2 linked regions of the Macaca mulatta genome follow. The protein of the gene in region 1 purifies or fractionates together with the protein of each later gene. This does not show direct contact. Links are inferred from orthologs where the notes say so. Each region holds a gene or a part of one and is shown in the gene's direction. Other genes may lie near its edges.

Evidence for each region.
Region 2: the proteins of NELFB (region 1) and NELFA purify together in Homo sapiens (affinity purification with mass spectrometry; 8 studies listed by BioGRID and IntAct, counting the BioPlex papers as one, with this or other methods). This does not show direct contact. The link is inferred for Macaca mulatta from reciprocal best matches to the Homo sapiens genes NELFB and NELFA.

What each region holds. Positions count from the first base shown.
Region 1 is NC_133420.1:5,193,614-5,197,809, reverse strand, and holds the start of NELFB (negative elongation factor complex member B), read left to right. Parts: upstream 1-1,367; 5' UTR 1,368-1,406; coding exon 1,407-1,652; intron 1,653-1,953; coding exon 1,954-2,117; intron 2,118-2,377; coding exon 2,378-2,477; intron 2,478-2,882; coding exon 2,883-3,113; intron 3,114-4,150; exon of another isoform or gene 4,151-4,196. UniProt on the Homo sapiens protein: Essential component of the NELF complex, a complex that negatively regulates the elongation of transcription by RNA polymerase II.
Region 2 is NC_133410.1:2,108,127-2,111,769, reverse strand, and holds part of NELFA (negative elongation factor A), read left to right. Parts: exon of another isoform or gene 1-115; intron 116-487; exon of another isoform or gene 488-837; intron 838-1,235; exon of another isoform or gene 1,236-1,408; intron 1,409-1,594; coding exon 1,595-1,684; exon of another isoform or gene 1,685-2,376; coding exon of another isoform or gene 2,377-2,842; intron 2,843-3,110; coding exon 3,111-3,241; intron 3,242-3,329; coding exon 3,330-3,399; intron 3,400-3,643. UniProt on the Homo sapiens protein: Essential component of the NELF complex, a complex that negatively regulates the elongation of transcription by RNA polymerase II.

The sequences.
Region 1 (4,196 bases):
GCCTTCACCTGCCGGGTCCCTGTACTGCCCCTGCCTGCAGCTTCACCTGGCTGGGGCCTCCCTTGTCACCACTGGCCTGCCCTCCTACCCAGGGTTGGGCCCCAAGGCTGCCACCTTGCAGGAGGCTTAACTGCAGTGCCATCACCTGTACCTCCCCAAGTCCTTCCCAGACCCAGGACCCAGACCAGGCCCAGAGCTCAACCCCTTCAAAAAGGCTCTGGGCAGCTGCTCCTGTGGCCTCAGCACCATCCCCTTTGGCAGAGAGGAATCCAAGGCCCTAGGGCTGTGTGTGTGCTGTGTCCCTTGCCCTCCTCTGCCACTGAACCAGCTGGGGGTTGGATCAAGGCACTGGTACCTTCGCCCTTGGGGTGACCAACTTGGCCAGCAGCAAGAAAGCCGTGGTAGCCCTGGCCTTGGGAGGTTGGCCCCGCTTGTGGGAACAGGAGCTCTGCTCATGGCTGCACCACCAGGCACCCCTGGTGAGACACAAAGCTAGGAGTGGAAGCGGCAGGAAGGATGCAACGATCTCCTCCAGCTGGGCTGAGGAGGGAGGGCTTCCTGGAGGAGGTGGAGGAAGGAGCCTTTAAGGAAGAGCAAGAGTTTGTTGGGCAGCGGGAAAGAAATTTCTAAAGAAAAACTCGGCAGGGAAGACCGAAAAGAGAGAGGGTGTGTGTAGGGTGCTTGGCGGGGCACTGCCTGCGGGAGGGCGGCGGGCTGGAGGGGCGGGGAGGCCCGGGAAGCCCACCCGCCTGGGATGAGAAGGGACACTGTGGAAACTGGACTCTCCCTCACGGCTCCGCGGAGCTCGGTGGGCGCCACAGCCTCCCGGTGCCGGGGAGGGCGGCCGTCGCTCGCGCTCCCGCTGCGGGCCCGGTCTCCGCCAGGCCCCGGCCCCCTGAAGGCGCTCAGACCTCAGTCTTGGCGACAGCGCTGCGGTGGGCTTCGTGCCCGTTTCACGCGGAGGAAGCCACGCTCAGGAGGGAGGGAGTCTGCGCCCGTGTCCTGCACCTGCAGAGCGGAGGGGCGGGGAGCTCAACCCCCGGCAAAACGTCCCCGCGGCGCGTGGCTGCCGCGAGATCAACAAGAGCGTTTTCCAAGCTTGTGTACACGAAATTCACTCGGCTGACATGACGTCAGTTGGCAGATCAGACCGACCCCGCTTCCGCCCCCACGCTCCCACCCGCCCTCTTCTGCCAGAAACCCCGGGAGCGGGCGGGACCGGGCGGGCGCATGCGCAGTGGGCTGCCTGGGCGGGGTCTCTCGCGCCGGGAGAGGGCGCTGCTCCCAGGAACCTGCGCGCGGCTCCGGCGGCGTTTCCAGGGGGCCGGTTGGCGGGCGGACCCGGGCGGTGCGGGGCGGAAGTGGGCGGCTGCAGGACGCGCGCGGAGCCGCGCGGCGGGCGGGACCTGGCCGAGCTGGAGGGCGCCGGGGAGCGGGGCTCGGGCGGCCCCCGAGGCCCGGCGGAGCGGGCTTCTGGGGTGTCTGCGGCGGCGCCGGGGGAGCGGGCTGGGGATGGGGCGCCTAGCCGGGCGGCGGCCGGGGCCTCGGCCATGTTCGCGGGGCTGCAGGACCTGGGCGTGGCCAACGGCGAGGACCTGAAGGAGACCCTGACCAACTGCACGGAGCCACTCAAGGCCATCGAGCAGTTCCAGGTGGGGCAGCCCCCGGGGCGGGGGGAGCCCGGTGCGAGGGCAGGGCTGCCTGCGCCGGAGTCGGGCCTGGCGGAGGCGCCGGAAGTTTTCCGGCTTTCTCTTGGTGTCTGAGTCTTGTTTTGGGGGTGGAGTCCGGAGCCAGCATCCCTTTGCTGGACGGCTGGGTGGCTTTCGGTGGCTGCGGTTACCGCCAGCACGGCTGGGAACACCTGGGTTCGTACCTCCCTGGGTTCGAGCTCTTAGAACCTTGGGGTGCCCGGGCGCACTGGGCTGCGGCTGAGATTTCTCTTGACTTCCTCAGACAGAGAATGGCGTGCTGCTGCCCTCTCTTCAGTCGGCCCTCCCTTTCTTGGACCTGCACGGGACGCCGCGGCTGGAGTTCCACCAGTCGGTGTTCGATGAGCTGCGGGACAAGCTGCTGGAGCGAGTGTCAGCCATCGCTTCGGAAGGGAAGGCTGAGGAAAGGTGGGTCAGCGGGAGGGATGGGCAGGTGAGATGTGCGGCTGTTTTCTCAGCCTTGGATCGACTCAGGGGCATTTATCATCCTTTTGGCTCCACATCCTTGCTCCCAGAGGTGGCCTGGCTCTGTGTCTGAGTGTGGAGCCTTGCCCCATGTGTCCTGCGCGTGGAGGCTTGTCCTGGTAGCTGTTACCTGTGTGGGGACAAGCAGGTAGCTGCTCTGATCTGGCGCATCGCTGCACCATCAATCTTGTGAGTTGTTGCAGGTACAAGAAGCTGGAAGATCTTCTGGAGAAGAGCTTTTCTCTGGTCAAGATGCCGTCCCTGCAGCCCGTGGTGATGTGCGTCATGAAGCACCTGCCCAAGGTAGGGTTCTAACCCTAACCCGGACGTGGTGGCGTGGACCGTCCGCCCACCTCTCGTGCCCTTAAGTTGGTGGAAGTTCTGGTGGCCACCTAGCTCCGGGAGCTTCCCACGCCACCTGCCGTAGTGCTGTCTATGGTGAGCTTGTCTGGCTTCTCCTGCATGAGCAGCGTGGAGACTGAACCTTAGCACTGGAGTTGGGGTGTGGGGCCCGCCCTGGGATAGAGCTGTTGGTATTTGGCTTGTCTGCATGAACCTGCTGGGGCCAGGGAACCTGTCATAGGTGTCCTGTGGGGTGGGGCTTAGCGGGAGGTGGTCTTGGGGGGGGGGGCTGAGGTCTCTTGGCTTGTCTTAAGGGAGATCCAGGGACACAGGGGCCACTCACAGGCTGCCTGTGGTGTCATGTAGGTTCCTGAGAAAAAGCTGAAGCTAGTCATGGCTGACAAGGAGCTGTATCGAGCCTGCGCCGTGGAGGTGAAGCGGCAGATCTGGCAAGACAACCAGGCTCTCTTTGGGGACGAGGTTTCCCCGCTGCTGAAGCAGTACATCCTGGAGAAGGAGAGCGCGCTGTTCAGCACAGAGCTCTCTGTCCTGCACAACTTCTTCAGCCCTTCCCCCAAGACCAGGCGCCAGGGCGAGGTGAGGGGACAGGCCGTGTGCAGGGCGGGGCACCTTTTGGGGGTGCCATGGCTGGCCCCATCAGCTGCCTGGGGATCAACACCCTGCTGCCCTGTGAATGGTTGGATGGTTCTGCTTCTTGGCTGGGCGGCGGGGGAGAGCTGGCCTGTACCCGTGCTGGAAAGAATGTTGGTGGTTTTTATGTTTGTAGTTTACTTTTCTTTAAAGTGATATATGGACAACATTAAAATCCACAGAAAGGCCCCTAATGAGAAGTTACAGCACCTGCCTCCGCTACTTCTTTTTTTTTTTTTTTTTTTTTTGAGTCGGAGTCTCGCTCTGTCGCCCAGGCTGGAGTGCGATGGCCTGATCTTGGCTCACTGCAAGCTCCACCTCCCGGGTTCACGCTATTCTCCTGCCTCAGCCTCCTGAATAGCTGGGACTACAGGCGCCAGCCACCACGCCTGGCTAATTTTTTGTATTTTTATTGAAGACCGGGTTTCACCGTGTTAGCCAGGATGGTCTCGATCTCCTGACCTCATGATCCGCCCGCCTCGGCCTCCCAAAGTGCTGGGATTACAGGCGTGAGCCACTGTATACGGCACCTCCCCGCCCCCGGCCCACCTCTAAAAAGCAAGTTCTGTTTGGTCCTTCAACTTTTTTTTTTCTGTTTCACGAAAACATGTATTAGATGACAGCTGTACATGGCCTAAGCTGTGTGTGGGCTGGTAAAGGCTTGAGTGCTGGCTAGAACCAGGAAAACTGCTGTCCCGTTTTCATGTTCACAGAACAGCTATTTCTCATAGTTGGGCCAGTCCTATGGCCTGCAAAGGAGGTAAACATTTTAAAGCAAGACTTAGCTGAACTGGAATGGAGCCAGAGATGAGGGCACTAAGCCAGACCTCCCAGGCAGTGATCTAACAGCTTGTTCTTGGTGTCCCGGCTCTTTTGCTCCGAACACGGATGGGGAATGTGAAGGCTCTCTTCTGGCTGGGATGAAGCATCTAGGTGATAAGAAATCCAGAGAGGGGCTGAGGAAGGGAGGCAAGAGTTGCTTTTTATTGACTTGGAAGTGGGCTCTTCAGTGAAGCCCCTTTGGGTTTA
Region 2 (3,643 bases), on another chromosome or scaffold:
CTCGCTCTGTTGCCCGGGCTGGAGTGCAGTGGCACGAGTTCGGCTCACTGCAAGCTCCGCCTCCCGGGTTCAGGCCATTCTCCTGCTTCAGCCTCCCGAGGAGCTGGGACCACAGGCGCCGCCACCTCGCCCGGCTAATTTTTTGTATTTTTAGTGGAGACGGGGTTTCACCGTGTTAACCAGGATGGTCTCGATCTCCTGACCTCGTGATCCGCCCGCGTCGGCCTCCCAAAGTGCTGGGATTACAGGCGTGAGCCACCATGCCCGGCCAAAGTTTTTTGTTAGAAGTTTATTTATCACTATATTAAACTTTGTGTTCTGAAAACATGCTTTAAAAACTTCAGAATTTAAGCCAGGCGTGGTGGCTTACATAATCCCAGCACTTTGGAAGGCCAAGGCCAGCAGATCACCTGAGGTCAGGAATTCAAGACCAGCTTGGCCAACATGGTGAAACCCCGTCTCTACGAAAAATACAAAAATTAGCCAGGCGTGGTGGTGCAGGCCTGTAATCCCAGTTGCTAGGGAGGCTGAGGCAGGAGAATCGCTTGAACCTGGGAGGCGGAGGTTGCAGCGAGCTGAGATTGCACTCCAGCCTGGGCAACAAGGACAAAACATCATCTCAAAAAAAAAAAAGAAAGAAATCAAAAACTTCAGAATTTTAGGTTAAGGCATCTCTAATCTCTGTTACCAAATGAACTCTGTGCCAGCTGAGTCCCGCTGTTGGGCACGATGGGTGCCGTTGTGAATGGCTGGAGGGGCACCGTCCTTACTGTCACGTTGCTACCTTCTTGAGTGGCCAGTGATCTCAATTTGACTTGAAAGATATTTAATCATTTCATTTAACGTTTTCCCAAAGCACGACAAAGATTACAATAAAATCGTTTTATTTTGAATGGTTACAGAATGAATATTTATAATGTACATCGATACCCCGTTTCTAGAGAATCCAAATAAAAGGCTGACAGCAGCTGTGCTTGGGTCTTGGCTGGAACAGGCAGCAGCCGGGGCCCAGCGCTGTCCAGGAGGCTCCGTGCAGCCCCAGGGGCACCGGGTAGCCCATGAAGGACTCTGCTGGCCCCTTGGGCCCCACCCCACAGTGGAACGCATCCCTTTTGGAGGCCAGCAGCGGCCTCAGGCTGTGCTTTGGGCACTCAGTGTCCCCTGACCCTTCAGCCTCACTGAACCAAGTCAGGAAAATCTCTTCGTTTGTTTCTTCCTCATATTTTTGTGTCTAGACCATGCCTGCTGACCCTCAGCGAGGACGGCGCTCCCACTGAGCCAGGGGGAGGCCCGGGTCGTCGGAGTGGGCCGGTGAGGCCCCTCAACTCCTTCTCTGCTGCTTCCCCCTGCCGTGGGGTCCTGGGAGGTGCAGCCACAGCCACCCAGCTCCCGAAACTTGCTCACCTGAGTGAGTTTCTGACTTGTTGTAATGTGCGAGCTGGTGTCAGGCCCTGCTCGAAACAGCTGCTCATTAGAGAGAATGCAGTGTTCACGGCTCAGGCCGTTGGATGAATCCGCTTGACAGAGATGCGTTTACAAGGGCCAAGAGCTCTCACTCTGAGGATCCCTGACACATGTGACCTCTTCCTTCCAGCCACGGAGACCGCCCAGCAGCTGAAGCGGAGCGCCGGGGTGCCCTTCCACGCCAAGGGCCGGGGGCTGCTGCGGAAGATGGACACCACCAGTAAGGCCCCCACCCCGGTGCTGCGAGCCTTGCTTTTAGGGCAGAGCTAAGAGCTTGACCTGGAGACTCGGCTCCCTGTTGGGGAGGTGGTGCATGTGAATGACCCGCAGGCAGCAGTGTTGGGAGCGCGCGGGAAAGCGAAGGCACCGGGGCAGTTGTACCAGCTTCTCCCCTTGGGGAGCGCCCTGGGAGGGTGCGTGGGTGCTGAGACAGGAAGGCCGGGATCGGAGGACAGCATTGGCCCCTGCTTCTCTGCTGTCGGCAGCAGCTTTCGGCCTTCCCAGCTCGGGTTCTCAGCCCCAAGTGCTGCTCTTGGGTTCCGAGTGTCCCTGGGAGGCTGCGCGGGGAGGGCGTGACCGTGTTCTGCCGCCCGCGGGGCTGCGCCCCTGCACCCCTCCATCTGCCCTTCCTGATTTGTGCTCTCAGGGCCGGGTGTGAGCTTAAGCAGAATGGACCCTGATCACAGGAATACGGCGTGCCCCTGGGAACCGCAGCAGGGCATACTCACCCCACAGGGTGCTGGAGAGTGACCTGGGGGCCAGAGGGCAGGACGGGTGCCGTCCTGTGCTGAGACAGCTGGGTAAACTGCAGATGGGTGGTGCTGAAAGGGCAGCCTTGCAGGCACCCTCCATGCAGCCCCCGGACCAGCCTGGCTCAGTTTATTTGGGCTCCCATAATTCCACAGTGTTCACATGGGACCTAGTAGAAGGCGTCTTGGGTCTGCTGACTGTTGTCCCTGCGTGGGGGGGCCATCCCCAGGTCACGTTCCTGCCCACCGCAGCCAAGGTTCCACCTTGCTCTCCTCTGCCCCGCCTGGAGCAGACCCTTGTCTTTCCACCCCAGCCAGGCATCCCAGGGCTGGGGCTGCACCTGCTGTCCCAGGGAGGGTGGGCCAGCTGTTGAGCAGTGTGTCCAGCCTGTCCCAGTGTGCTAACGGCATGGTCCGCCGGGCACCCTCTCTCCGGTCCTGGCACCATGAGAGCCATGCATGCCCTGGAGGGTGTGTGTGGGCACTGGTGGGTAATGGCGTAGGCCTCAGGAGCGTCCTCGGGACAGGAGGACAAGGCTCGGGAGGGCAGTCCTCGAGCCCAGGCGCCTGGCTTCGCGCCCCTGCCTGTGGAGGTACGGGAAGGAGCCAGAGCTCAGCCCCCCGTGCTGGTGAGAGACTCCACCGGGTGAGATCCTGTGGCTGGGCTGGGGTGCCGCTGTCTTTGGTGTCTTGGCAAAGTGTGAGGTTGTGGCTCCAGGCACTCCCCTGCTCCCTGAGGTCTGGGATTCTGGGGGTCCTGCCCGCTGCCCGCCAGGGATTTGGCCCTTCCCCACTGCAGCGCTAGCCTAGAAGGGGTGGGATGTTCTGGGCTCAGAGGGGGTGGAGGATGTTTGCCGGTCCCTGCTGCTGGCCCTGACAGTTGCTGTCGTCCTCCAGCCCCACTCAAAGGCATCCCGAAGCAGGCGCCCTTCAGAAGCCCCACGGCGCCCAGCGTCTTCAGCCCCACGGGGAACCGGACCCCCATCCCGCCTTCCAGGACACTGCTGAGGAAAGAACGGGGTGTGAAGGTGGGCCCGTCCCCCAGCTCCTGTGGCGCCCTGAGGCCTGCCGTGCCCTGGTGCTGTCACTAAGGCAGGGCTGTGCTTGTCTTGGCAGCTGCTGGACATCTCTGAGCTGGATATGGTCGGTGCTGGCCGAGAGGCGAAGAGGAGAAGGAAGACTCTCGGTGGGGATTGGGGCCTGCGTGGAGGCGGCAGTGGGGGTCCCTGCGGGCCCTGCCCAGGTGGGGTGGGGCGTGTCCACGCTCAGCGGGCAGGGCTGTGCCCCTGTGAGGCTCCTCTTCTGTGGGTGGGCGCCTGCTTTTCTCCTCGCTCCTTGGCGGCCTCTCCTGGGAAGCTGTTTGCTTCCCTGTTGCTGCCCCGAGCTGAGCCTGCAGACGCACCTGGGCACTGGTGAGGACGCCTGTTTTG